Linked DNA regions of Astyanax mexicanus. The protein of the gene in region 1 interacts with the protein of each later gene in a pairwise test. Links are inferred from orthologs where the notes say so. Each region holds a gene or a part of one and is shown in the gene's direction. Other genes may lie near its edges. The genes, in order: rchy1, klhl41b, aig1 and gorab.

Evidence for each region.
Region 2: the proteins of rchy1 (region 1) and klhl41b interact in binary tests that used the Homo sapiens proteins (3 or more experiments, as listed by UniProt). The two-hybrid records come from large-scale screens. The link is inferred for Astyanax mexicanus from reciprocal best matches to the Homo sapiens genes RCHY1 and KLHL41.
Region 3: the proteins of rchy1 (region 1) and aig1 interact in binary tests that used the Homo sapiens proteins (3 or more experiments, as listed by UniProt). The link is inferred for Astyanax mexicanus from reciprocal best matches to the Homo sapiens genes RCHY1 and AIG1.
Region 4: the proteins of rchy1 (region 1) and gorab interact in a two-hybrid assay, tested with the Homo sapiens proteins (3 studies listed by BioGRID and IntAct). The link is inferred for Astyanax mexicanus from reciprocal best matches to the Homo sapiens genes RCHY1 and GORAB.

Annotation. Positions count from the first base shown.
Region 1 is NC_064429.1:11,603,469-11,610,351, reverse strand, and holds the start of rchy1 (RING finger and CHY zinc finger domain-containing protein 1), read left to right. Parts: upstream 1-3,872; 5' UTR 3,873-3,896; coding exon 3,897-3,947; intron 3,948-6,542; coding exon 6,543-6,662; intron 6,663-6,883. Other genes in the region: kcnv2b (potassium voltage-gated channel subfamily V member 2), read right to left, coding at 1-528. UniProt on the Homo sapiens protein: E3 ubiquitin-protein ligase that mediates ubiquitination of target proteins, including p53/TP53, TP73, HDAC1 and CDKN1B. Mediates ubiquitination and degradation of p53/TP53; preferentially acts on tetrameric p53/TP53.
Region 2 is NC_064412.1:53,827,677-53,835,336, reverse strand, and holds the start of klhl41b (kelch-like protein 41b), read left to right. Parts: upstream 1-4,652; 5' UTR 4,653-4,779; coding exon 4,780-5,898; intron 5,899-6,971; coding exon 6,972-7,129; intron 7,130-7,549; coding exon 7,550-7,657; intron 7,658-7,660. Other genes in the region: col28a2b (collagen alpha-1(XXVIII) chain), read left to right, coding at 11-202, 849-856. UniProt on the Homo sapiens protein: Involved in skeletal muscle development and differentiation. Regulates proliferation and differentiation of myoblasts and plays a role in myofibril assembly by promoting lateral fusion of adjacent thin fibrils into mature, wide myofibrils.
Region 3 is NC_064408.1:57,427,757-57,435,503, forward strand, and holds the start of aig1 (androgen-induced gene 1 protein), read left to right. Parts: upstream 1-4,739; 5' UTR 4,740-4,924; coding exon 4,925-5,065; intron 5,066-7,747. UniProt on the Homo sapiens protein: Hydrolyzes bioactive fatty-acid esters of hydroxy-fatty acids (FAHFAs), but not other major classes of lipids. Show a preference for FAHFAs with branching distal from the carboxylate head group of the lipids.
Region 4 is NC_064408.1:60,386,537-60,394,549, reverse strand, and holds the start of gorab (RAB6-interacting golgin), read left to right. Parts: upstream 1-4,999; 5' UTR 5,000-5,145; coding exon 5,146-5,209; intron 5,210-6,332; coding exon 6,333-6,828; intron 6,829-7,265; coding exon 7,266-7,367; intron 7,368-7,487; coding exon 7,488-7,628; intron 7,629-8,013.

The DNA of each region.
Region 1 (6,883 bases):
GGCAATCCGGCAACAGCGTGGCGCAGTTTTTACCCTAACCCCCCAGTATCCGATCTCTTCCAGAAAGTTCCTGGGGCACAATTCATCCCTGATCCACAAGACCCCTGTCCTGTAGAAGTTGAAGATGCTGTTGAAGACATTTGGATCCCGGTCGAAGAAATACTCGTCATTTTGCACCACATAGTCATCACACAGGTCCAGCTTCGCTCCAGGGTCTGTGCAGGCGGCCAGCTGGCCAATCCGACTCTTGGGGAACCTTGCGGCCATCTTGTAGGAAATCTGGTACAACTTGCCTCCAACGTTGATGTTGAGGATGCGGTTTCTCATAGGTGAGGGAACGTGAAAGCGAGGGTTTGGTGACCTGCTGAAGACTTGCTCCTCTTCATCTTCAGCGTAAAGATCATAAATGTCACCCAGAGAGCTCCACTGCTTGAACGCATTGTCTTTGGCAAATGGGAGAAGACTGTCTTTGGATTCCTGTTCAGATGGAATCTTGGCACCAGGGAAGAGACTTTGCCTTCGGAACATCCTGCAAGTCTTCTACAGTCAGGACCTCCGTTCATTCATCATGTGGAGCATCAAAACTAGCATCCAGGCTAGTTCCTAGAAAAGAGACCTTCAAGACTACGCTGTCTATGAATTCCCAGCACATTTTCCTCCAAAAATGTCCTATAGAAGGTTAAATAAATCAAAATATACTGGACAGAAACCTTCCTGATACTTTTAGTCAGGTCCCAGTGAGAGCAGAAGTCCTGGACCTGGTGGAAGCTTCTAGACATGGCTCACTCTGTGATCTCTGCCTGCTCCATCTGGTCTCGGTGCTCCCGCCAAAGGTGCTTGCGAGGGAGAATTACAGAGTCTTAATGCTGCCATATTTAAAGCAGGAGAAGGCCAGAAGGAAGCAGGGTGGCAGTGATGACTCCAAGCCAACAGTCTGTTGTACCTTTTAAATGCTAATGCTAATTATCCTCCTGTAAGCCACTGCCCTTCTCTCTGACGTAGCTCGGGATTCCTTGCTCCTGGAGTTTCTATAACTGTGTAGGAAAGCCCTTTCATTACTCAAATTAATGGACGTTCCAAAGTTCTCTAAGGTTTTACCAGGCCATGGTAGTAGCTTAGTGGTTAGAACACAGGGTTACTCAAATCAGTATTAAAATAAAATATATTTATGGAGTTGGTCATAAGAGAAAAGATCAAATATTACAAAACCATAAAAAACATCAGCAACCAAGGATATAGATGGCTAGAATAAGAAAGTAGTAATGATGGGTAGTATTAATGATAATAATAACAACAAAAATCACAGAAATTACAAAATTAGATGTTGGTAGTGGAGGTTGGGCATCTAGTCCCAGGCAAATGGGCAGGCAGTCTGTGGTGGATGACAGGAGAGCCCAATGTTTAAAGAGATCTATTAGTGTTAGGTTGAACATTAATTTTTAAACCATTGACTAAAGTGATGAAATTAAACTATTTATTACAGAGAATGTGATCAGATTATTTGAGAGTGCAAATATAACAGCTTTAGCTAACTAAAGGGAGAGAGAGCCAGAAGGTAACACAGACACAAGCCCAACCTGACACTAAATTCTGATCTATGCTAGACAGAGATTTGAAGTTACATAATATCTTAAGTACAGAAGGTTTCATAAGATTGCTTGTTAGCTACATTATCTGCTAAATGGTGTATATAACTGTTACTATAATTCCAGGGAAACCCGAAATGCTAAAGTCTGAAAGGGTGAGGTAATATTCTGAATCTCGGAGGTACTCAATGGGGATTTAATGCCTCAGTCAGTAGGTCATGAACCCCCATCTGCTGTAACTTCTGCACCACCTGTTGCCTGATAGCTTTTAAAGGACAAAGATTCCCCTAATTACTGAAGTCCAGATTGGACTGAGATTTGTCCCAGTCACCCCCTGACCATCTACTGAAGGACTGAGGATATTTATGGCTACAGTCCACAGTTTAGACTTGTTTTCAGTAGTTCAGTGTGCTGTGTTCTTCTGTGATGTCATAAAAATATCAAACAGGTGCTTGAGAAAATGGCAAGAGTACAGGCTAAGAAGAACTACTAGCAAACCCAAAATTAAAGATAGTAAACCTTTATATAGTGGGAGCTTTACGACTTTGTATGTTTATTGTTTGTATCTTGAGGGAACAAATGCACCAGTTCAGTATCTTTATTATGACACTGTGGGATCAATTGTGTGTGAGCTCTCAAAGGCTTAAGACCCCAAAATATAAGGATTTCGGATATTTAGTAATTTCTTGGGGATTAATGAGCAAGCTTTAAGTCCAGCAATGCTTTAAAGCTCAGCTGAGGCTAGGCAATGAGGTGGGCCCAGGGTTCATGTCTCACAACATATATGGAAACTAATAGGAAAAGGTATGGAAACTGGAAATTCTTCCTGACTGTATTGTTACAATCATGACTTGTCCCCCAAGCAACCACCCAGCAAAGCCATTTTGCAAGCAACACCTTAGCTTATGATGACCACTTATGATGCCAGAGCAACCACCTTATAAAATCCTAGCAGTGCCATGGGATATCATATAAACTGTTTAGCAATACCCTAGCAATCACTTATGATAACAGACCAGCCATCTCACAAAATCCTAGTAATGGCATGGGACATCATAATAACAATCCAGCAACAGCTTGGAACATAATATAAACTCCGTAGCAACACCCCAGCAACCACCTAACTAAATAATTTCAGTGGACTGGAACATAATATTAACCATAGAGCAACATCATGGAACCTCATATAAACTGCCTAGAAACACCCTGGCAACCACTTATGATACCAGAGCAGCCATCTCGTAGAAGCCTAACAGTGGCCTGGGAAGAAAACAGTATAAATTGAAGAAAGATGTTACACAGAGTTTAATGAAATTTAATCTATGCTGCAACATAAAACAACATGCTTTACGATATCGATGTTGACCGGATCGTAACGATGAGAAGCAGAGTGTGAGTCTGCGTACAGTTTGCTCCTGTACTCCAGATAAAGCTGTTTAATCATCAGTATTAAATCCCTGTTTACACATCGACCCGCTGCCAGTTACACAAGGATGAGCTGCACTGTTTCCAGGCCCGAGTCCAGGTTTCTGTGTTTTGGGAGGTTCCGACTAAGCCTTTAATAGCCCGATTCTTATACAGGCCAGGGCAGCAGCACTGAGGGGCAGCAGGACTGAGGGGCAGCAGTCAATTTAAAAACTTTTAAAATATCCAGTATCAAGTGCAGTCAAAAAACATTCTGATGATGGAAATGGCTCTCATCAGGACTGCCCCAGGTAAGGAAGAGCAAGAGTTACCTCTGTTGTACAGGATAAATTCATCAGCATTACCAGCCTCAGAAACCGCAAGTTCCCAGATAAGACATGATAACTGGATCACTTCACTGTTCATTTACTTAGCATTTATTTACAGAAAATTAGAAATGACTGAAATAACAAAGAAAGATGCAGAGCTTTCAGACCTCAAATAATGCAAAGAAAACAAGTTCATAATCATAAAGTTTTAAGAGTTCAGAAATCAATATTTGGTGGAATAACCCTGGTCACAGTTTTTTTATGCATCGTGGCATCATGTTCTCCTCCACCAGTCTTACACACTGCTTTTGGATAACTTTATGCTGCTTTACTCCTGGTGTAAAAATCCAAGCAGTTCAGTTTGGTGGTCTGATGGTTTGTGATCATCCATCTTCCTCTTGATTATTTTCCAGAGGTTTTCAATGTGGTAAAATAAAACAAACTCGTCATTTTTAAGAGTCCTCTTATTTATTTTCAGAGCTGTATATATGTTTATTATGAGGTGAATCTCAGCGCTGTGTGTGTCTGTGGTTTAAATAAAGTTGGGGGGGGGGGGGGGGGGGCTATATAAGTAATCATGGCTGCAGAAGCGGGCTGTGAGCATTATGTTCGGAGCTGTTTGCTGAAAGTAAGTCCTGATTTTATTTATTATCGCTTGTTTATGATTAATAAGCAGCTGGGTACATTTCTACACTGATATTACAGCAGAAAAAAACGCGTTAAATCTGATATATATCCTCAGTTCGCTCTGAATGTCCGCAGTTTGCCGGCTAGCCTGGTAGCTAACTTAGCTAGTTTAGCATCAGCAGTGTGTTCTAGTAGGGAATTAGCTAAGCTAAGCTAGTTAGCTGGGTAAGCATCAGCAGTGTGTTTCTGTAGGGAAATTACTAAAATAAGCGAGTTGGCTAGGTTAACATTATAAAATAAAGAAAAAAAATTCGATTAAAAGAATTTGCTGCACATTTAAACCCGAATAATCCGAGTTTAACTAAACTTACCTGAGATTAACATGAATAAATGTGGAGTTGGTGAGCATATCTGGCTACACTGAGCATATCTTTGCTGCACAGGTAATCTAACATTAGTTAAAGGTATTTGTTTACGTGACTTCTCTGCTATAAAACATATTAAAATCATAAAAATAAACCATATTTATATGGTCCAGATAAAGATAGCTTGCTATAGGCCTGGACAATAATTCGATATCGGTATTTATCGCGATAAGAAATGTTTCAATAACGGTGATATCACTTTTGTGGTATATCGATATGTATTATGTACAGAATCTGTCACGGACAGGCGTTTTTTACTGGCGTCAGCTCGCCGCAGAGCCAAACACATTCAGCCCCCATAGCTGTGCTACCTCAGTGCGTGATGACGCAATCACACAGGCACGTAGCCAGATAGGCTAGGCTAGGCTAGGTTAAAATGGCTAGGCTAGGCTAGGTTAGGTTCAGGTCCGCTCCGCTACGCATCTAAAATGTCTCGAAACGGAGCCGGGACGAGCGGATCCAAGGCTAGGGTAGACTCGGTTCGGTCAGCCGCTGTTTCGCTCGCCCATTCGCGCGTCCGCTCGCTCATCCGCGGCTCCGCTCGCTCGTCCGCTCGCTCATCCGCGGCTCCGCTGGCCCAGCCGCGGGTCCGCTCGCTCATCCGCGCCTCCGCTCGCTCATCCGCGGCTCCGCTCGCCCAGCCGCGGGTCCGCTCGCTCATCCGCGCCTCCGCTCGCTCATCCGCGCCTCCGCTCGCTCATCCGCGGCTCCGCTCACCCAGCCGCGGGTCCGCTCGCTCATCCGCGCCTCCGCTCGCTCATCCGCGGCTCCGCTCGCCCAGCCGCGGGTCCGCTCGCTTGCCGCTTTGCTGCAAATTGTGCCGGTGAGTGGAGCCGACAAGCAGCGTAACGTTAATACATCTAATCTGTTCCACCACCTCAAGCATCTTCACTACATACAATATTTTCCTTATACTGACTGAAGCACTTTAATAGATTATGTTGAAACTAAGTTATTTAAAGTTTATGAATCCTTTAGGTTTGTTTATTTGACGTGGATATCATGTTGAATACCTCTTGTATTCTGGCTGAAGCACTTTAATAGATTATGTTGTCACTAAGTTATTTATAGTTGAAAAATCCTATAGGTTTGTTTATTTGACGGGAAAATCTTGTTGCTTTTATGTATATAAAGGCTTCTTGTATTATATATCCTAGTTAAAACACTTTTGTTTTAATCTGTTAAATTTGTTTACAATGAATAAGAAGCTCTGCCTCTGTTGTCATTTAAAGTTATTTTTATTTGTAATAGTTATATAGGCTTATGTTTGACAGGGATGTCATGTTATTATTTTGCTATATGCAAATAAAATTGAGCATTGATTTATTTTGACTACTTTTATTTCTAAAGTATTAAAGTTTTTGTGAAAGGAGGTTTCAAAGACTTAAAAAACATTTTCATACAGTAGTAGGTACAGATTTCCATTAGATAGATTGATACAAAAAGTGCAAATACACAGTTAAATAATAATTTAAATTTGCAGTGCAAGCTGCAGAGATTGCAGGGATTCTTTTTCTGAGGCCTTCAAAGTATTTATCGATATCGAAATTATATCGTATCGACCGAAATTTAAGGAATATATCGTGATATAAATTTTGGCCATATCGTCCAGCACTAGCTTGCTAAATATATGACTGCAAGGTGTTAAAAGTCCCAAAATGCAAAAAAAGTTTTAATATTTGTGTTAAAATTGGCTAGTTTATTATTTTCCTTATTGCTGAATTGGGTATTTAGTCTTAACTAAATGAGGAACATTCTCATTTCACACATACATAATAAATAAAACAAATTAAATATAAGACAGCAAGAAGTACACACATTTTTTTTCTCTTTCAGTTAGTTTTTTTACATTATAAATTTAATATTGAAGACTATTTTAAAGTTTTACAAAAAGTGTTAAACAAACCAGAATATGTTTTATACTTTACTCTTTTCTTATTGTTTACTACGTAGTTCTGCACATGTACCTTTATTATGTCTACAATGTAGAAAATAAATTAAATAAAGAAAAAACATTGAATGAGAAGGCGTGTCCAAACGGTTGACTGCTACTGTGTGTAAGTCATTACAATAGATAGATAGATATATAGCCCAAAATACACAATTGGGAAATTTTAGTAGTTAATCAAAACTAATAATTATAGTTTTTGTGTGTGTGTGTGTCTCCTCAGGCGCCCTGCTGTGGGAAGTTTTACGTGTGTAGACTCTGCCATGATGCTGAGGAGAATCATCAGATGGACCGCTTTCAGGTTAAAGAGGTCAGGTGTGCAGTGTGTCACGCTGTTCAGCAGGTAAAGACGGTTAACTATTAGAACTATTATTGTTTAAATTAGGGCTGGACAGTATGTGATAAAGCAATTTAGCATTATACTTTAATAGATTTTCACTGTAAAATATCATATTTTTACATGCAAACAAAATGCATTAGTAGCAGCAGATTCATTAAAAAAACATAAATACTCCATTAAATAAAGTGTTTTTTTTAGTCATCTCAATAAATGCAGGAATGATT
Region 2 (7,660 bases), on another chromosome or scaffold:
CTCTGGTCAGAAATCGTACCCCTGGACCCTCGCTGTGAGCTGACCCTAGACCAGGGTCCATGCCGTGAATATAATATCCGCTGGTATTACGACAAGCAGGCCAACGCCTGCGCCCAGTTCTGGTACGGAGGCTGTGATGGAAACCGGAACCGCTTTGATACAGAGGAAGAGTGTAAAAAGACCTGTGTGGTCTCACAAGCAGGTAATTACTCGCATTTAAACATACAGTCACAATTTTACCCTTAATCTTAAAAAAGTACACCATATAGTTGAATAAATGTCAGCATGCACGCACATCATAATCAAATTACTGAGTAATCCAATCATTGGGTTTACCTAAATTTGGTCAATGATTGGATTTTTGCTTTGTAACCAGCCAATAACTTCACAGAATAAGACACAACATAAAAATCATGTAAAAACTCAAAATTCACACTGAAATTTTATCACATCAAGCTTTAATATGAACATCATTTCAGTGTCACTCTATTTGTGGTACCATGCTCTTTTCTTTTACATGTGCAAATACTGATTATAATATTCACTCTGGTTCAGAGTGTACATGAAGTGAAAAAACACAATTACTGAACAGAATTTCAGCTCTCTTTATCTTATTTGTAATCTATTTATTTTTGTTATCCAGTTTTATAGAAACATTTGCAAAAAAAAAAGTGAACAGACATTGTTTTACTGTCCTTTTTTAATTCCCATCCAGGCTCTCCATATTTAATTTTTTTAATCGGATTTTTGTTTAACGAAAACTGCACCAATCTTACTTACTTGATGTAACTGGTTATCATCAGCATCTACAAATATACTGTATAATTCTCCCTGGTTTGTTCTCACAGGAGGATGATGAACACAGAAGATCTTTGTGATAGAAGATTGACTGTTGTTGGATTAGTATCTGTAATACCTCAACGATCGAGCTCACTGAGAAATGTGCACATAATTGCTGAAATACTGTATGTTGAGTATTTCATTGTACTGCATCAGTGACTTGCTGTGTAAATACTTAATTTTCTTTATTAGCCAATTTCAATTCAAGTATATTTTAGCTCCAGTTGTATTTGTTTTCCTGTTCCTATTCATTTCTAGTCCTTTTTTAGTGATGTATTCCACAACCCACTTGAAACAGTGAGACAGTGAATGTCAGAAGAGTTATTAAAAACCTGCTTCTTATTTGGGAATTGTTTAATTTATGGGGACAATGGTGTCCTTCATTGTCTTTATAATTGTGTCCTAATAGAAAGCAGCAAAAGCCTAATTTAAGAGCACAGAGTCAAGTGAAGGGTTCATCCTCACATATTCAATCCGCCCAGATCTCAGATGCTATGGATTGACTTGAAGAGAGATGTACTTCTAAAGCATCCAAGGGATATGAGAGAGCTAAAGCAGTTCTGCAGGAATAATGGGCAAAAATTTAACGAAGTGCAGATCTGATCCACAGCTACAGAAAGTGCCTGGTTGAGGTTATTCCTGCAATTTTTCCACCACCACTTTTAGTGTTGAATGAGTCATCAAAGACCTGCAACATCATATATATATATATATATATATATATATATATATATATATATATATATATATATATATATATATATATATATATATTATTTTATTTTAGCACATTATATCTGTCAATATCCTTAACTTGAATGATCAGTCCACATTTTATGAAAAATGTATGCATAAACACATGAAACTGCAAAGGATTCACATACATATTTTACTTTCCACTGTATATGGTTGGATATCCCCCCAATCTGCTTATTTTCAGAGCTTGAGCCCTCCCCGCACCAACCCTCTGACTCTTTAATGCAGTTAAATTAGTTTTACACATCAGAAACATCATATTTCCATATTATGTCCTCATTTGGAGATACTGCTGTATGCAATATTAGACTTAACTTTTGTACTGATCCAACCCTACAGTGCCTCTGTGTTTAGAACCAGGCCACTGACGAAGGGCTAAAGGACTAGTGCAATCCATCAACAGATAGGTTTGCTACAGTCTCTAAATGTACATCAGGATATAAACTGAACACTGATTGTTTGACGGGTGCATTATGTATTTAAGGCCATTACCTGATTTGTTGTGAACAGTTGCTATTGTATAATGAACACTGTCAATACTGCAATTTTATGTTTTTGATGTTAGGACATCCTTTGATATTTCTTTATAGGTTTTGTATCATTTTGTGTGTTGTAATCCAAGTTTAATATAGCATACTTTTTTATAAAATAAAAAATGTTACTGAAAAATTATGTTTTACCTTTTTGAACATTCTCAGCACAATGTAAAATAATTTGTCTGATGGCAGTTTAACTGAATATGCAGAATACCGCATGCCTGCCCATAATTAGGCACATGCTGCTGTTTTATGTTAGGTTTATCGGGTTAATTAGAGTTTAAGCACCAAAATAGTTTTTTTATATGACTGAAAATGGTTATTCTATGCCATCACTCTTTATTTTAAAAGAATGTATCTTGGGGTAGCGTAGGACAAGAACATTTAATAGCAACTCTAAATCAAAACGTTTGGACAGTATGATTTTTTTTCCCCCACTATAACGGTTAGTTGAGCCAGTTGGGTTATTTTGCCTGGTCATTTACATAGTGCTGGGCATAATCAAAAATTGGATAAAGTTGGGACAGTAGGTAAAATGCAAATAAACAAAATAAATGCAGTGTTTCTTGCATGTGGTTTGGATTTAATTTTTATCAATTCATAAAAATGCATATCAAAAGGTGATTGTAATCACGATTTGGTCAATAATGAGCAGATAAATTAGTAAAAATAACACAAACTCATACTGTTAAACAAGTGGTATATGATTCTCTGTTACAATTTTTTTTTATGTTTTGCAGGCCTAAAACACATATGCATTTGACATTGTATCCAGCATGCTGGAAATAACAGAGCAAAATAAACCAACAGGCTCAAACCAGCATTAGAGTAGGAAAAAAATAACCCAAAAGCTTTGTTCAGCTGTTGTAACTATTCATTTTGGTCAACAACAGCTTACTAAGCCAAGCTCACTGATTCACATGGTCAGTTTTTTACTGCGTCATCTGCTGTGTGCTGGCTAACAGACGACGCTCACTCACTTACTCTTACACTCCCCTATTGGCATCATTCTCTCTGTGATTGGGGGGGTGAGGTGGGTTGTGTGTGTGAGACAGAGTACCCCCCTCTGTCTTTCGCGCTTTTGACTTAAGTTACATATAACTACCACACACACACACACACACACACACACACACAGGCCTGTTTTAATTATAGTACTATCTCCAACACAACACACGACCCTCTCACTCTAAACTGTTTTCCATGAAATCATAAGATCAGATTCAAAATAAGACTGGAATCCGGCTTCTAAACCAGATTTGTGATTATTATAGTCTATATCAATCAAAGTTTATGATTTGGAAAGAAATATTTTAAATATTTGAGTGTCCTGTAAACTTTGAATATATTTGTGCCATAATTACAGTTCCTATAGATATGTAACATGAAGCATAGAAGCAAAGAACAATAATGAGGTTCCAGTGACTCTAAAACGCTTGATCAAGAGTGTGTGCATGTGTGTGTGTGTGTGGAGGGGGTGGGGAGGGTGGGGTTGGGTGCTGTCACCTGTTGTAGCAGCTGCTTCCCATCACTGTCACTCTGATCTTAGATGTGCTACCATTCACACAAACACACACACACACACAAATGTACAAGTAAAATACATACCACCGAACAAAACATTATACATCTTTACAATGCAACTTCAGAAATGTTATCATGTGAACTTTTACAGAAGTACAAATAGGTTTTATAGATTTAGATAAAATTTTATAGATTATAGACACATTCAGTGTCATATCATTGTAATTGTGATAAGTATGATTCAGCTCATTAAAGCATAAATGAAGAAGAAATTGGAGGCAAAGTTAGATTACCAAGATGAATATTTTTTGATCCTCTATTTTTCTATTGATTTTTTATTTATTTATTCTGTTATTTCTGTTTATATTCTGTTTTTATTCTCTTTTACTTAACATAGTCCATCCATGCTGCTGTTTGCCATGTTTGTGCCATTCAAATTAATGGGGAAAAAATTAGGAATGTATACTGAACGTGTGTGTTATTGATTATGTAAATTGTTAGAGCACATAAAAATACAATATTTACAGCAAATTTAACTTCTCAGAACCTCTAGTTTTTTTCTGCTGCTGGAACAGCTCACTCAATTTATATCGCCAAATTAAAGTTAACAGTTCTTTGCCAAAATAAAATGGAAAATGTTTAACGGAAAATTTATAATACCTGTATTAGGTAGTGCCTTGCGGAACTTAAAAAGGTTAAAATATTGTTATAATTAAAAGACTCCTGATTAATAAATTATTTAGTAGAATTTGTAATTTAATGTATTTCATTATGTGTTAATATTAAAATATTACACAAAAACAGTGAAACACAGTTTTAAACTTAAGGGTTAAATCCTGGTTAGGCCTCTGCAGCCTGTTTTACTGTGACAACTGCTGTCATTGCACTCCCCCTACTCACAGACGGACAGGGGGAACAGGGGGAGCTGCAGAGGGGAGGAGGGTCCAGCCCAGGTTAAATTTAGAAAGCCCAGATTAAATAACAGCTTTTTCAAGCTGCAGATCTTTTTGGTGGTCTGTCCTTTTCCAGCCAGGACTGTGTGGCAAGCAGAAGCCACCCTCTCTCCTCTCTTTCTTCCTCCTTTCTTCTTTGTCCTCCACCACTTACCCTCCTATCCACTGCCATGGATCCCAAAGCACTGAAGGAAGAACTGCGGCTGTTCCAAAGCACGCTGCTGCAGGACGGCCTGAAGGAGCTGCTGAACGAGAACAAGTTTGTGGACTGCACTCTGAAAGTGGGTGACCGCTGCTTTCCATGCCATCGCCTCATTCTGGCCGCATGCAGCCCCTACTTCAGAGAGATCTTCTTCTCTGAAGATGGAAAGATCAAAGAAGACCTCAAAGAGGTCGCCGTGGATGACGTTGACCCCAATGTTCTGGACATGATCATTAAATACCTCTACTCTGCTGAAATCGAGCTGACCGATGACAATGTTCAGGAGATATTCGCAGTCGCTAACCGCTTCCAGATTCCCTCTGTGTTCACGGTTTGTGTGAACTATCTGCAGAAGAAGTTGTCCATGGTCAACTGCCTGGCCATCTTCAGGCTCGGCCTGATCCTCAACGTGCCCAGGCTAGCCGTATCTGCCCGCGATTTTATTGCGGATCGCTTCGAAAGCCTGATGGACGAAGAGGAATTCCTGCAGCTGGCGCCTCATGAACTCTTTGCCCTCATTGGTGGAGACATGCTGAACGTGGAGAAGGAGGAAGTGGTGTTCGAGTCGCTAATGAAGTGGGTGCGAAGCGACAAGGAGAAGCGTGTCAAGTCTCTGGGTGAAGCCTTCGAATTCATCCGCTTCCGCCTCTTACCGGAAAAGTACTTCCAAGAGAAAGTAGAAAACGATGACATCATTAAGGCCGATCCAGAACTCCTGAAGAAACTGCAGGTCATCAAAGATGCCTTCAAAGGGAAACTTCCCGAGATGAAAAAGAAGGAGAAGAAGGAAGGAGAGGTGAATGGAGAAGAAGGAGGAGAGGAGGAAGAAGAAGAGATGTTGCCAGGTTTCCTGAACGACAACCGCAGGCTAGGGATGTATGGGCGTAATTTAATCCTCATGATTAATGACACAGCGGCGGTGGCGTATGACGTGGTAGAAAACGAATGCTTCCTGGCGGCCATGGCCGAACAAGTGCCCAAGAACCACATCAGCCACTGCTCCAAGAGGAACGAGCTGTTTGTCATTGGTGGTCTGTTCGTTGACGAAGACAACAAAGAAGCACCACTCCAGTGCTACTTCTACCAGGTAGGTCATAATATTTTAACTCACAGACAAAAGAGTGACAATTGTGGAAATTTCCTTGCATTTCTATGCAAAAATTACCTTGTACAACGACACAAATAGTACCACATTTCCCCATAGATGTTTTCTTGCTGATTTATCTCAAAATGTATTGTTGATCATTCAAAAACCTCTGTTGAGTTGGATTTTGTACAGTGTAAAAACATTTCATTTGTTTACTTTTGTGCAAATTGCTGTATGTGTAGAGAATACAGTGTTTTAAAGGATCAGGGAGTTAAATAGTCAAATATTTCCCAGGTCCAGAAGGTCTGGTGTCATGGTGTGGGGTGCAACTTATGGCCCTATGACTTTGGCGCACTAATCCATTAAGACAATGCTCGTCCAACTGCTGCAGACTCAAGAGTATGCCACATTGCCAGACATAGCTCTGAATGAAAAGAGGTGGGATACCAAATATTCAAAGCTCTATTGGATGGATTACCACAGAACACCATTAGGAACCTCTACAACTCCAAACCCAGATGTCTGCCATCTTGTGATACACATGCATACACTACTTATATATGTGTAGCTCAATATATATGACAAAGTGTTTCCGAAATCAGTAAAAAAAAGCATTGCAATTTGGCACTTCTTTCTATGTGCAACTATTCTATGTGTATTTTTGCAACCATTTGGATAACTATAGATAACTGGCACTGAAAATAAAGTGAAATCACTAGCGTTACTTCATAGCAGTTTCCTAAGATGCGGCGCTGTGTTATCTAAAGAAACACAAAGATCAGATTGGTATTGGCTGACAATCAGCACAAAAATACTTGGATTTGATCAGGACGTCAGGTTAAGTAAATAATAACATACTCAGTTTGCAAAGTGAGTCAACCAACTGCATGAAGAACAGAAATCTAAAAGTCAGTTTGGCTTATAAAAATTATCATCTGTGAGACCGCAAAACTATCATGACCAATTTTGTCTAATTCATAAATTCTGTTATTCAACAGAACAATTCTAAAAAAATGTTTTAACTGTATTATTGATATTAAAACACTGACTAATCAGTTGTGATTTTATTTCAGTTGGACAGTCTTACATCTGATTGGGTAGCACTGCCACCCATGCCAAGCCCAAGATGCCTCTTTGGTTTGGGTGAATATAATGGTCTGCTGTTCGCTATCGCTGGTAAAGACCTGCAGACCAACGAGTCCCTGGATTCTGTAATGTGTTACGATACTGAGTGAGTAACGTCAATCTGTCATTCTCCTATCATTCTCTTATTGTGTCTTTCAGTTAGAAATGTATACTATCCCAAAGTATTTAGATATCTGCTCTTCTGAAATCAATGGGGATAAAAATGAGCCTATTCTACTTGTGTTGTGAATTTGCAACTTTAAAAGTAGCCGAATGCATTCATAATAGGGGTGTCCACAAGCATTTGGACAAGCAAATGGAATGCAGAGTACTAAACACATTGACATGTAGTCATGTTGTAGTTTGTTTAATAATGTTGCCAAAACTAGTTATTAATTAAAACTATATTAATTCAGCTGTGAATAAGCTGTGGTTTATTTTAGTGTTTTTCCCATTTATATTCTTTTTCATCATTCTTTTGTCTACTTCTGCTTAATGGAAATTTTATCATATGTCATTTTTACAGGAAGATGAAATGGAGCGAGACAAAGAAACTTCCACTCCGCATCCACGGCCATTCAGTAGTCTCACATAATGGCCTGATTTATTGCATTGGAGGCAAGACAGATGATAAGTA
Region 3 (7,747 bases), on another chromosome or scaffold:
AAATATATTTACTAGTTATTATTAAAACCTGATGCTCTGTTGAGTTTTATATACTCCACCATGCATCTTTCTGATTGCTCATCTCAGCAAGAAACATACTATTTATCTTATCCTAATTTAACAAAGCGATAAGGTTTACCTAAGGTGAAGGACAGGGTGTCTAGTGTTTGTGACCCACAAACCCAAAAGCAAACGTTATGACTGTAAAGCCCGAGAGCCTTTAATGGCTATTTAAAAGAAGCATGGATTTATTGGATTTAACTTAAATAAGGCTGTTTTTGTTTGGAATTAGAGCACAGTGGTACGCTGCAAAAACACAAACTGGTCACTTGCGCTATGGCAAAAAGAATAAACGCTCCAAACAGAAGTGAGTTTACACAGAAGTGTCTAGACTGGAAATGTAGACCCCGGAAACAAGAGAAAGGTCTATAGTAACTATATAGTGTCTGACAGCACTGAATATAAGAACTCTTAATTAATTAATTTTATTAATTAACTCTTTAATAAAATAATAAGAATTTTGCCCAACTGTAAGGATTTATTTTACTTCTAAGGATTATTTCTATTTAATGTTATGACACACGTCACCTTTTGAACCCTAAAAGAAGGACTCCAATTCTCTTTAAAAAAAAATATATGTAGATGAGTTTGCATTAAGCTTTCAGTGTGTGTATTACATCAAGTGCTGCACTCACAATTCTGGAAAGTCTTACACAGCTCCCCACAGCTAACCACAAGCTGCAGAGTGCCCCTGCACTCTGGCAGACCCCAGCAAAAACCCACAGTGGCTGAAGGGCCTACGCAGCAGTAAGCAGGTCTTATGTTTCCTTTGCATTTTCGATTGCTTCACATGATACCTGGGTCAAGTTAAACAAACCCCAAGTTTTAAACATTTGAAAATGAATTACATTTACACATATAGTCTCAGCAAACCTATTCCAATGTTTACATATCTTAACTATCTAAGATACAGACCAGGTAATATATTTGTTTTTAATGAATTGGGAAGCTATTTGGCAGACAGACTTTGCTAATGAAACAGTCTAGATGCATAATACTGATTAAACGGAAGCTGTTAATTCAACTAGTATGTTGGCTCATCAATTAGGTAAATTAGGGTCACAAACCTTAATGCAGTAAATGTTAAAAAAAAAACAGTTTAGTACTAACCTGTAAGTGTTGTAACAGTAAACATTGAGAGTGCAGACATTTCTGCAGGGCCGTGTTTCTTACAGTAAAACTGTCAATCTAATAGACAGCATAAAAAAACAGTTGGCAAAGGTTTTGATTTAGTTTTCTATGTTTTGTCATACTATTTGCTTACACACATTATATGATGTGTATCGGTTAATGTCCAGTTAATCATTTCCTTGCTTATCAGTTACCAGATTTAGCAAGGAAAATGACTAAACTGTACTGAATAATGGCCCTCCAGGAGCAAAGCCAATGACATTTCATAGTAAGTTAGAGTTTCACTTCAGATTTGTTTTGTTTGTTTCAATGTCTTCTATGTAGGACCACACAAACATGATATTGATAAAAAAATCATCTGTACCTTCCTGTACATATGAATTACACAATGCAAAGCTATACTTGGGGCCCTATTTAGCGATCTATGGTCATTTGCGCATCGCACAGCTTGATGCATGCTAGGCCATCTTTATGTAGAGCAACACATTTTTCTTTGCCAGAGTTCTTTGCCATAAGGTGCCATGTTGAAATTCCAGTCACCAGTACGAGAGAATATGAGAGAGTGAAAACACCAAATTTAACTGCCCTGCTCCGCGTTCACACCTGATACCTTGCATCATTAACAAGTCATATGACACTGGAAAGGAAAAATGGCTAATTGGGCAAAATTTGGCAATTGACACTTTGTACTCAGTTTGTTGCCAGTGGTTTAGACATTAATAGCTGTGTGTTAAGTCAGGAAAAGCAAATTCACACTAGTTGTACACTGATTACTTAACATTTGTATTAATATGTCATATCTTCTGTGCTGTCTCATAAAAAGATATAATTAATTATTTACAAAAATGTGAGAGATGTAATTCTGAGAACTGATGTGTACATTATGGTCATTATGGAGTTATACTGGTCATCCATCACTGACTTAGTGGAGCACAGGTCAGAACCCTGTAATCCTCACTTCTCTAGCCACTTAATCGCAGGGACGGAGAACTGTTTGTCGGTGGGAAAGGATTTTCCAGAGCATAAACCTCTTGGCACCCTTATCATGGTGCAGTGCAGATTATAACAGGGGGCAGAGTTTAGCCCACCACTGCCTGACATCTTCCAGAAAGTGATGCACTCAAATGGACAATTATGGATTACATTCCTGCCATGCTTCGAAATCACAGTGAAGAAAACTGGAGAATGTCTCTGATGAGTTATACTAAGGTGCATCATGTGCTTTGCTGTTTTGAAGAGATGGTGGAATAACAGTGTATCTTTGATGCTTATCTGCCATTGCCACTTCTCAGTGTCTTTGATTTATCAGTGTATTTATTAAAGCAACAGTAAAAGATGTGTGTGAAGTGTGATCATGTCAGTAAGCTTGTCTTGGATTGTGCACTTTTTGGAAATGCATCCAGGGTCCTTTTCATTTTGAAGGTCATTGAAGTCATCCTTTTAATTTTGTAGTCTTCCATCTGATACATGTTGTAAGACATTCACAGCCACATGCATTTCAGGGTGGTTCAAAAGGAAAAGTGGACACCAGACAGATCTAAGAATGTGGAAATCTTTTATGTTTTTCTAAACCTAACCTTGGACCTTGACCTCTCTTAACAAAAGGAATTCTTGGGTTGTTTTATTTATTTATTATTTGCAATAAAATATTCATTATTTTCTAAAACTCTTCATGGTGAACAGTAAAATGTCTCTACTCTTCACACAACCACTTAAAATAGATTCGTTCTGTGGTGCATTTTCTGTGTCATGTCTGTATAACTGTAGCTATACTTATCTTTTTTCAGATAACAAATGCACCTTTAGTAAACAAATATGAAGACAGCAAAATGTACGGAGAACACCTGTCATTTATTTAAATGTGTTTATTTTTAGGAAATATTGGAAAGATGGGGAGATCATCCATAGAAGGTCATTCACTTGCAGATGGAGTTTCTTAAACTGAAAATTATTTAAAGGTAACAGACTCCTGACAACCATGATCAGCATCAGACCGGCTCCACTAGATGAATAGCGCTTTCATCTTTGAAAAAAAATCAAGCTTCACACTTTAAATCTGAAAAAAGAAGAACATTTACATTCTGATGCTGCTCATCTGCAGTATGGAATATGACGCATATGTATCATTTGGAAATCTTTTTTTGTAGGTAACAGAACCATGTCTACAAACATACCTCAAGCTAGGTGTGAGATTAGTGCAAGTTTGAACGTATAAAAACATCTGGAGCTTTTTAATAAAGACATCATGAAGGTTACGCTGAATTTAAGCAAACTTTTATTGGCCGAAACCATAAGAAAAAATCTACATCAAGATAATGACCCAGGCACACTGCTTAGAATATCAAGATGTTTGTATCAGAGTCAGATCTTATCATCACGTGTTTGGGATTACTTTGGAAGCAGAGAAGCAGAAAATGCTCCAATTTTTAAGGACTTTGTATGTGTGGACAATTCTCTGCAGATTTCTGTTGTATAGGGGTCTACAGTCTGCACAGAATGAACACTGTAATAATGTAAAGGTGGACAATTTAAATGGTTATACACTGAAGCTTCTGTCTCATTTCTTGTTAGCTGCTAAAAATAACATGTCTGTTTGACTGGGAATAAATAAATGTCTCTGACTTCTGTTCTTATACAGAACATTTTTTTTTATTTTCCAGAGAGAAAAAAGGGTCAAATATGTTCCTTACAGTGAATTTCTGGAAATAGAGAAAACTGGTTTTATTGGGTGTGAGTAAAAGCAGTTATAAGCAGTCATTTCTTACTTTTAGCAATAATGTATCCAGGATAAGAACTAGAGATGTATTCTGTACTTAAGTACTAAAATGCTGTATCTGTATCTACTGGAGAATTATTTTACTTTACTACTGTACTTAAGTATTAAAATGCTGTTTCTGTATCTACTGGAATATTATTGTACTTCACTACTGTACTTAAGTACTAAAATGATGTGTCTGAATCTACTGGAATATATATATTTCTATCCTCCACTTTTACTTCACTACATGTTTGATGAGTTTAATACTTTAACTCTGCTATAAAAAATATAATTAACATTGTACTGCTTTCTGTAATAACTAAATAACACATTAATGTACTTTTACTTTTAGTACTTTAGTATTACATTTTACAATGAACTACTTGCCATACATATCTACAAAAAAATTGAATACTTTAGTACTTAAGTGTGGAGCTTAAAGAACACTTTAACTTCCAATAAAATCACTTTGTTTTACTCAAATCTGGATCTCTAGTATTTTATACATGCCTAAATAAAACCCCATATGTTTTACTGAACAGTATTTTCTGTGTTCGAACAGTTCTTTTCTTGTTTATGGTAATATGTTAATATGTGTTTGAAATATTGTTTTGTTTGTTAAATGTATACTGGTGTCGTGTGCTGTTAGGCACAGTGTTATATGTTTTATGAAAAAGAGACCCTGTGTGTTGTATTATTAAATACGGGCATCTATGGACAACCGCACAAAGCGCAACCGTGCAAATATCGCGAGATTACAGGCAGCGTCAGCTTCACCGTTACTATTAGCAACATCCTCCCTCCCTCCCCCTCTCCGCCGCGCGCATCTTTTACGCCATCACCTCCTCCAGCATCTCGTTGAACTGCGACCCCATCCTCCTCCTCCTCTTCCAGGCGCGGCGCGTCCACAGGATATTATTATTATTATTATTATTATTATTATTATAGTGGGACGGACAGGCGGCGCTGGGGAAGATGGCGCTCATCCCTTCCCAGATCCTGAGAGTCGCGATCCTCCTATCCTACTTCTCCATCATCTGCAACTACAAAGCCATAGACATGCCGGCGCACCAGACATACGGAGGCAGCTGGAAGTTCCTCACCTTCATAGACTTGGTAAGTGGTGCTGCTTATCTGAGAAGCTTCTCCTCCAGCCTGATTGATGATGATGATCACCCACCGGGGCAGACGCCTCTCTCACTCACACACACACACGCACACACACAGCCGGCTCGAGCTGACACTCAGCTGATCCCCCTCACTGAGCCACTACAGACCCCCTCCTGCACCCAGTGATCCAGAGCAGAATCAGGGGAGATCAGGAGGACAGATCACCTGCCTCAGCTCTACTCCAACCGGCCCAGTCATATCAGCGAGCCGATCCCCGGATCAGGCCCGGGTCCACCTGCTTCTGGTATCAGGACCCGATCTCCTGTTAGCACTGAAGCCTAATGTAGGTCAGGTTGATTACCAGGGCCCAGACACGCGCATGCGCACACAGGACGTAGCCGCGTAACTGGCGCGACTGATGTTTTGTCAGTGCGAGCTAATGACTCATGTTTTCCACATAAACGGCTCGTTTTCTCCACTTTTACAATGATTTTAATAGAAGTAAACCAGCAATAAACTTGTTTTCTTATGTTCTTATTGGCACATCTATTCTGAAGTGCCACAATAATAAACGAGCACAGAGCTGAGTAGTAACTCCTAGTAGAGCTTACTCACTTCACTATACTCCTTCACTATTCACCATATAACATTCGCAATATAGTGATTAGGGAACAAACAAACAACTTGTCAAGTTTACATCGCGCATAAACAACACTACCGCGCTGCATTATGGTATACATCAGAAATTTAAGCGTACATCGTCTATAAACAACACTACTGCGCTGCATCATGGTATACATCAGAAATTAAAGTTTACATTGCGCATAAACATCACTACCGCGCTGCATTATGGTATACATCAGAGATTCAAGTTTACATCACGCATAAACATCACTACCGCGCTGCATTATGGTATACATAAGAAATTTAAGCGTACATCTTCTATAAACAACACTACTGCGCTGCATTATGGTATACATCAGAAATTAAAGTTTACATCGCGCATAAACATCACTACCGCGCTGCATTATGGTATACATCAGAGATTCAAGTTTACATCACGCATAAACAACACTACAGCGCTGCATTATGGTATACATAAGAAATTTAAGAGTACATCTTCTATAAACAACACTACCGCGCTTCATTATGGTATACATAAGGAATTTAAGCGTACATCGTCTATAAACAACACCACAGCGCTGCATTATGGTATACATCAGAAATTCAAGTTTACATTGCGCATAAACAACACTACCGCGCTTCATTATGGTGTACATCAAAAATTCAAGCGTAAATTGTCTATAAACAACACTACCATGCTGCATTATGGTATACATCAGAAATTCAAGCGTAAATCGTCTATAAACAACACTACCGTGCTGCATTATGGGTGTTTAATAGTAAACTATATAGGGAATAATATGTAATGGTGAGATTTTGAACAGCACTACAAAATTGTGGGGACACTATACAGTGCACAGCTCGAGTTTGGGACTGGCTTTATGTGCAAGGTATGTATAAAAGGTTTAACTACTGGCTTAATCAAAACCTCTCTCATTCATTGCAATCACATCCCTGAGAGCAAAAACTTTAAATAAACGTTCACTTTTTGGCTGCATTACATGTTTTTAATCTTTATTTAACATTACCTACTAGAAATTGGTTATTGTTAAAGTTCTGACATTACATCAATGTTCATTTATGGTTTTCATCAAATGAACTTTGATTACGTGTACCTTTATATATGTAATAACATTGATCTCTGATGTCGGAATTGATGCAGAAAAGATGCAGAACTTGCTAATTTTCTCCTAAACAGGTAAACACTGAGCTACAATATCTGTGTTAATCTGAAGTATGTTATCAGGATCTAAAATGTATTACTCCAGATTGTGTATTTTTAAAGCAGTGGTGTTTTTATTTTCAGAATAATAGACTTATCAAGCTCCATAATATAGAGTTTATATTGTGTAAACCATAGAAAACATTGCAATATATATACATTTCCTAATCTACTTGAGTATGAGTCATAGTTGCTTGCTATAGCAAAAGTTCTTGAATCTGTCTTATGCTTGTTTGTGTTGGTTCCATGTTCTTAATCTGGCAACATATGTGAGTTTTAAATCTGGGTAGGTTGGGATATGGCAGTGTTTTTAAACTGGACTCTGGTAGCCATTCTATACACTTGCTATCATTTAGTACATATTGTTCCTTTAAGAGTTAAATACTCTAAAGCTAATTTAATGTTTTTGAATATGCTGTCTAATGTCTCATATAGGGGTGTGCCATATCGTATCGTACATGATAATACCGCCAAAAATTTTGAATATCGTGAACAATATCATACCCTGAAATATCGTGCTATGTCCCCCACCCCTAATTTTCACATCATTATCACATTTTACTTTTATATCCTGGATATATGGAGTTATTTGTAGTGCATTATTATTAGTATCATGACATTCTTAATCCATGACTTCTGATACAAATCTGATAAAATTCTTCTCAGTTAGCAATATCATATTGCAGGCAATAATAAAATACTAAATAATTGTTCTAATTCAGTGTTTTGTCATATCGCCAAAAGTATCGTTATCGTGAAAATACCATGAAATATCGTGATATTATTTTAGAGCCATATCGCCCACCCCTAGTCTCATACACTGGCTTTATGTTCATTTTGAT
Region 4 (8,013 bases), on another chromosome or scaffold:
TGTGTTTTTCAAGGACATACAGTATATTGAACTATATATTTCTAATTGATATCTCTTTTTATACAACCATCCGTTGCTCTGTTTATCATTCTGAATATTTTTTGAAAATTTTATAAGTTTATAATTATTTGTAATAATATGCATTTTGAGATCATAAAAGACTTAGATATGAGAATTTTACAATAATATTTTAAACATTCGTCTGCAATTACACTGCATTCTGAGCAAATGTGTTTAAACTGCTAAAAAGATATGTTACCTACAACACTAAGGGAACCCTGTGCTGTATAGAAAGACTTTCCACACTTCCACTACATTTACATTTACACTCAGAATATACAACATCATGAACTGAAGACAATTAAATGTTTTTACAGCTTTGGAAATAATCAGACATTGCTTTGTGTGTCTGTCCATAAGGTGAGATACTAACTGATCACTGAACTGGATCTGAAGAAATGATTTCTCCTTAGACCTCACAGAGTCTGACATCTGCCTTCTCTCCTGTCACAATCACTGACGCTCCCCTGAGAGTAAAAAGTAACATTTGATCAGACTGTTTGACGGTCCATATCAACGGCATGCCCTGCACTGTTTACATCCAGCTTTCTGTTTCACTGACCTTCAACCTCTCCGCTCGTAAGAGAAAGAGCGCGAGGTCTGGCTGGAGGTGAAGAGGGTAACAGATAGAAACAAATAAACAAAGTTAGTTTCTGGCTCCAGCACACTGATTTCTGCTTTCCTGAAGGACTGTTTAAGACATAAACACATATTTACACACTCAAGCACAACATGCCCTGACTTAATCTACAAACCACTTAAGGTCATTGACCTTTAAAGGTCTCATAATAGCTTATTTCAGATTGTTAACACTGAATAAAAACAGGTACAATTAGTAACATTCTTCATTCTTGTTAATTGTGCAACATGTTTTTCACATTGACTTTACCTACCCCATGCTGTGTGTTGACCTTACATTATTACTATACAAAAGGACAAACTGAGGAAAATGTTCTCCTGACATTTAAAAGCTTGTTCAGGTGGAATGCTGAAGCTGCTATTGAGGCAAACTGATGGAGAATTGCTTAAATGTGCCTTATTTAAAAGCTAAAATCTACTCAGGATAATTGATTTAAGTAGTGCCTTCATAGTCATTATACCTATGTTCTTATATTACCATTATTTAAAAGCCAAAAACTTACTTTGCATTGCATTTTTAATGAACAATTAAGCTAATGTTTTAGTTGGTTCATGTCAGCAGTATTCACTTAAGATTAAATATTATTTAATGACAAGTGAGGAAAACATTTAGTTACTCTCTATACAATATTTACATCTACATCATTTTCTTAGTAGGACTATATAGACAAACACAAAATACTCAGAATACACAGATATAGTATGCTCTAAACTGACATAAACGCAGATTGAAAATAGAACTGTATTTGAAAAACACTGATTTAACACACACTATTTCTGCCTACTCCTGGCTACTATTAAACATATATATAATTTAATAACTAAACCAATAACACTCAATAAATACATTTTTTAATGATTTGTAAAGAATAGAGAATATGATATAAATGGGATTGTCTTGTGAGAAAGTTTACAAGTGAAACAACTGGTCAAAATTGCCAAGTCAGACTGTTCGTCAGAATTTCAGCCCAAAACAAACCAAACAAAGTTTCCACTCAGGGGTGTTCAACATTGGGGGTTTAACACTGGGCGAGACAAATTTGCTACTATGAATCAAAGCCTACACTATCTCCTAAATTATTAGCTACACACTAATTCCACTGCAGCTAGAGTAGTAAATTACTGTATGTATAGTGACTTTCGCACGCATTATTATCTAGTTCCCATGCCTTAATAAGTCATTCCCACACCTTAATAAGTCTTTGGCCATGACTTATTTATCTCATTCACAAGGCTTAATTATCTAATTCCCATGCATTATTATCTAGTTCCCACGCCTTAATAAGTCTTGGCCACGCCTTACGATCTTATTCCTACGCATTAATAAGTCTTGGCCATGAATTATCTCATTCATAAGCCTTAATTATCTAATTTCCACACCTTCTTAAGTTGTGGCCACGCCTTGGTATCTCATTCCCACGTCTTAATAAGTCGCGGCCACGTATTTATTTATTTTTTTTTTTACATGATGTCACCGCAATCTTAAATCGAATCTCAGAGGTATAGGCTGTGACCGAAATGGCTCCCTACTACCTCATTAGTGTTGCGCTATGTAGGGAGATACTAATAAGTTCACCAATTAGTGGTAAAACAGGAGTGAATTCGGACACTAACTCATCATTATCATGCGCCAGAACCGTTCGCATAAACACACACAGGTGAGAGAGGGCTGAGTCGTGTTTAAAACTCCATAAACACACTGAACTGAGCTCTGAATTAAAGTTAGTGAAGCTCTTAATAAACTGCAGCTGTGTTAGTGAGTTAGTTTAATTTAAATTAATTAGATAGGGAGTCAGGGTTAAAGAAAAATATATATATATGTAATGTTCAACTTGACCTGTACCTGATCAGCTAATCACTATTTCATTTTCAAACTGTTTATTAATTTAGGATTGCAGGACTTAGTGTGAGCTATAATGAACGAAAATGAATTTAACTAACTAGTTAACTAGAAGCTACATGGATAGCCAGGATTTAGTACAGTACTTTATGTTTGTAGTTTAAAGCAGTTTCTTAACCCTGATCGCTGCCCTAAATCTGTGTTTTCCACCTGATCAGCTAATAAACAGTCATTTACTGAGTTTACCTGTTAAAATCCTTTAGCCCCCTATGGAGCCTAAATTAATCATGTAAATCCAGCAGTGTATTAGACACATCATACCACCACTTTATTAAATGCCTTTAAAGCAGAGGAAGCTCAAGAACATGCAGAACAGTGTTAATATGCAGTAGAATATGTAAGAACAGGGTTGAGAAATACTGCTGTAACGTGACTTCTGTTCATTTGTAGTTCACAGTAAGACCACATGTCCTGATGTTTATAAAAATCTCTATGCAACGTAAAGTTACATTCTTTTACATAAAAGGACACCATCTTAAGAAGAGCTCTCAGTAGAAAAAAAAATAAAAGCGCAGGAGAAAATGTAAATATATGACAGAATTGACATGCCAATACATAATAATAATAATAATAATAATAATAATAATAATAATAACCAAATCTGTTATATTATTTTAAATATTAGGTGATAACTGATAATTTTTGTCATATGTATATAATTCAGACATTGCATGCATATTTTTTTCTAACAACAGTAACTGTACGTGGAGTAACCTGTTTAGGTTGTAAAATCACCTTATAATAATAATTTACTTTTAATTTCAAGTAATTTCCACAAACGTTGTTCTAGGAAACTATAGGGTGGGCTTGGGTTCATATTGGCAAATGTGTCCCCCCCAATATCAAGCCCGCTCCTACGCCCTTGCTCACATTACTGAACGTCATGAAGAAAACCTTAAAAATAGCAGCGTACACCGGCTCGCTCTGTTGCCAGATTGGGTGGTATCATGCCAAATGTCGAGTTGTATCTGAAATTGTCTGGGGGAAACGCTGTGATTTGACAGGTGAACAAAACTACCAAGTGTAAAGAGTTTGGAAATTTAACTCGGTGGTGTTATAGTTAGATATCTAACCCTGCAAAGTCAGAGCTTTTAGTCCTACTGATGGAAATTTGAAGTTGTGTTTATATTCGTTATTATATGTAAGTAAGTAATTTCATTCTTTCATTGCTTGCAAGGTTGTTTTTATGTACTGTTTTTACGTTTTTGTTTCGTGTGTCCAATGATACAAGGCAAAAAACACATAATACAAATATGCAGATAAACTCATTTAAATATATTTTTTGTAACAGTGATATTTAAGATATTTATGATATTTTAGTTAAGATCATGTTGGAATAAACCCTGTAATATTGTTAATATGACGAATATCAGCTGTTTGGGTGGTTTTCTCAGTAAATTTGTGGATCTGAAACACGTTTTACCCTGTGAATTGGTTTTATCTGAATCCCATTGTAACAATCTGGCAACCCTGGTGGCTCGCTGTCCGCTAGAGGTGGGCGGATTTAAGAAAAACTTGCATTTGAATTGCACTGAAAGGAAGACAATTCCTTATTTTTTATTGTTTTTCCAAATGACAATTCTATTTAAAAAAAGAAACAAAAAAAGAAAGAACTTAAGATGTCTAGTGAGGGGAGAATTTTTATTTTATTTTTTAATATTTTTTTACTTTATATTTAAACTTTGTTTTGTTACTGTTCCATTGTTTCTAAACAAAAAATGTTGATTGTGATACTAAAGTATTTTGTTATCACTTACAATGTTTGGTGAAATTATATCCTAGGTTTTTGGATCTATAAAGCTTAAATATTAAAAAGTATCGGTATCAGTATCGATATCGGCAATACTGGCCCTGCATTTACTTGGTATCGGATCAATACCAAAATTCCCGGTATCGCCCACCTCTACTGTCCGCTCCATTTCTTCGGCTGTCTGTTGCTTAGTAGCGAGACCCGCAATGCATTTTGGGACACATTCAGCTCGCTTATTAAGCAGCGAAGTTTACTATAAATCATGATGCATTATGGGAGTTTTTAGTGCCCTCAAAATCACGTTCGAATCCCCCCTTAAGATTCGGACACTCAAAGAAAAATGGCTGACATACTCAATAGTGCCCTAACTAGTAAATAGTGAGCCATTTCGGTCACAGCCATAGTCCTCAGGAATGCGGGTGATATATATCCGGACTACAGCCTGCAGGACTGTCGTGCCTTCCCGCACACTGCCTGTCCTTCAACACCTTAATCTTATCAAGTAAAAACGGGCTTTGTTTAAACTCTATATATTTAAATATGATGATGAGTTTAGTCGGGCGAGAAGAGAATAATCAGGATAATCGCAGGAGAACTCAGTCTGGTTGTTTTTTTGAACGGGGAACAGATCAGTCTCCTCCTGTGGGTCCTGCGGCAGGTCTTGGACGTGGCAGGTCTGTACACAGACATGTCCGCTGGGTGTTGGAGAGCTGAGAGCTGCGGGTCTGAGCTGCGGGGATGCGGTGTGTGAGTGTGAGAACTCTCTGAATCAGCACGGACAGACTGTAGGTGAGGAATGGCCGCGTGGGCTGGATTTTCAGATGAGGAGCTGAGGAGATTACAGCAGAAAGGCGAGACCAGTAAGTTCACTGCAGCTACCGCTCAGAGCCCCACTGATCCTGGAGCTTCAGCACAAAACCAGTAAAATAACCATAGTGAATCCAGTAACACGCCCGTGAAACTTTATTATTCTAAACCAAACCGTGTGTAGCCTACAGTACGATTCCTTCCAGTTTAACGTTAATTAGCTAAACAGCTACATGTTGTGAAGTTAGCTTGAAGCATTAGCATTTAGCATTAAGTTAGCCCCTCCCGTTCCACCTTAACTGAATGCTGCAGCGTGTATGATCAAGGGACTGTATGATCAATGTTCAGCTACTGTACATTTTAAGGTGGAACGGAATGTTAAATAGGAAATTCCAAATAACCCTTTAATGTGGTATCGTTTACATACTGTTATTCAATTAATTAATTATGTAATCAATTAATCTCGCGTTCCCTGCCAGATCTGTCAAGAAACTTAAGTAAACATTTTGGCTATTAAAACTTTACTGTAGTATTTATTTTTCAGACGACTTTTTACTTTTACTTTGTTTTATAGCCTTCTCAAGCTCCTCAATGTCAAAAAAGCTATCTAGATAAATCTATTCATCCAGATAGAGTGAGTCTGATAAATAAAATCTGAGAAATAAAAACAGTCCTATTGGTTTATACAATCTATCACACCTGCCCACACTCCAGCAAGAACATAGCAGATAATAGTAGCCTAGTATGAAGATGAGCCGTGCAGAGACTCAAGACAACTCTAGCCAAATGTCCCAACTAAGCTTCTTTAATAAATTGTACTCAAATACATTTCTTTTCAATGGTCATATATGCAACTAAAACAAGGGGCGTAGTGCATCCCAATTTATTTCACATTAACATTTTAATATAACATTATAGTCGTCATGTCTTTTAGAAAAATGTGTTTTGGGCAGGGTGGTGGGTGGTGCACTATAAGCCCCTGTAGTGCAGCCTGTCCTTTTGTCTTTAATGGCATTATTTCATTTACTATACTTTTTCTTTTATACTTTAAGAGTCAAAAGGTTAAAGTAAGTTGGTATTTTTAACCACTAGTATCTATACTTCTATCTGAGTTAATGAATTTAAATATACTGTTGTTTGCTACAGAGATAAATGTTGTCTGGTTTGTCTGAACAGGTGATCCTGCTGTCCTCGCTGTGATGGGACGAGGGCGGAGAGCTGCTCCCACTAATCGGAGCAGGCAGCAGCTGCAGCGGGAAAGAGCTCTGCAGTTGGCCGCTAAACAGAAAGATTGCCATGGATCTCCACTATCGCCTGACCAGCAGCTCAAACCTCCTCCATCACCCAGCCCCAGCCCCAATCTCAGCCATGTCCCCAATCTCAGCCATGTCCCCAATCTCAGCCATGTCCCCAATCTCAGCCATGTCCCCAATCTCAGCCATGTCCCCAATCTCAGCCATGTCCCCAATCTCAGCCATGTCCCCAATCTCAGCCATGTCCCCAATCTCAGCCCCAGCCCAAACCTCAACCAAACAGTTCAGAGCAAACCATCTGCTCAGAGAAGCGAAGAGTCGAAGCTGCCAGAGCCGGGTGAAGTGAAGCATGAGTCAGATCCACGGCTCGAGGATGCAGCAGAGAGCATCAAGGAGCTGGACAAAGTGGAAGTGGAACTGTTAGTAAGTCTAGTGCCTTTTCAGAGAGTGACAGAAATGAGTAAAAAAAGAAAATAAAGTAGTAAACTATGCCTTTAATGTAAATGTTTTTAATCAGTAAGATTGGTTTATTAACTGCGTCAATCAAAATGTTTATAGTTCAACTAGCATTGAAATGCTTTGACAACTGCCTGCTCACATGAAGCAATAATAATATATGAAGAAAGTATGTCAAATAACCATAAAATAGGAAAAAAATGTGAACGATTATGAAACACAGAAAAAAAATGTGTAAGGAATGGAGTAGTAATATACACTAAATTTACATAATGAAGAATTTAACAGCTTGATTGCTATATTCAGATGAGGTAACTGCAAAGTGTAAATTGTGCAGAACTGCCCCTTGTTGGATTGTACATGCAGTACTTCAATTTAAATTTTTTGTTGTTTATTTCAGACGGGAAAAGACTCGTCTACAGCAGCTTCAGTGGGAGCAGCGGGTGATGGAAGAGAAGAATAAAAAGAGGAAAGCACTCCTAGCTAAGACCATCGCTGAAAAGTATGAGCAACACACTAATTTACTAATGACATCCATTTCTGAGAATTATCTGGTGCCCCAAATCAGCTGAAACCTGTACAGATTGTTTTAGTTTGTTAAGCAGAACTTCTTGTTCCATAGATCTAAGCAGACACAAGCAGAAGCTGTGAAGCTGAAGAAGATTCAGAAGGAGCTCCAGGTCTTGGATGATTCCGTTTCAAATGACATCTCGATTCTGAGGAAGCTGATTGAACAAGCCAGTCTGGAGTATTCCTTAGCATGGTAACAATATATTGTCAATGTCACAGTTGACACAGATTTTATGGTAATCGTTCAGTTTTTAGGTAATGGTATTGTCAGGTAGTATGAGTGCATACTGTCAGAATTCACATTTTAGGCAAAAATAAGAAAAGGTTAGAAATATCAAACCTTTTCTACTAGGGTGTGCCATATCACATCACACACAATAATATTGCCAAAATTAATACTGAATATTATTATTAAAAAAATAGCCATTACTTCTTTTTAGCTGTTTGCAGCAAAAAAAAATCACACTGTTCTCGTTTACCATTAAATATCCATCTACAAACAGATTATAAATATCCAGTATTATTTGGTTCTATTTCATCCTGGATATATGGAAAGCATTACTGTAGCATTACCCATA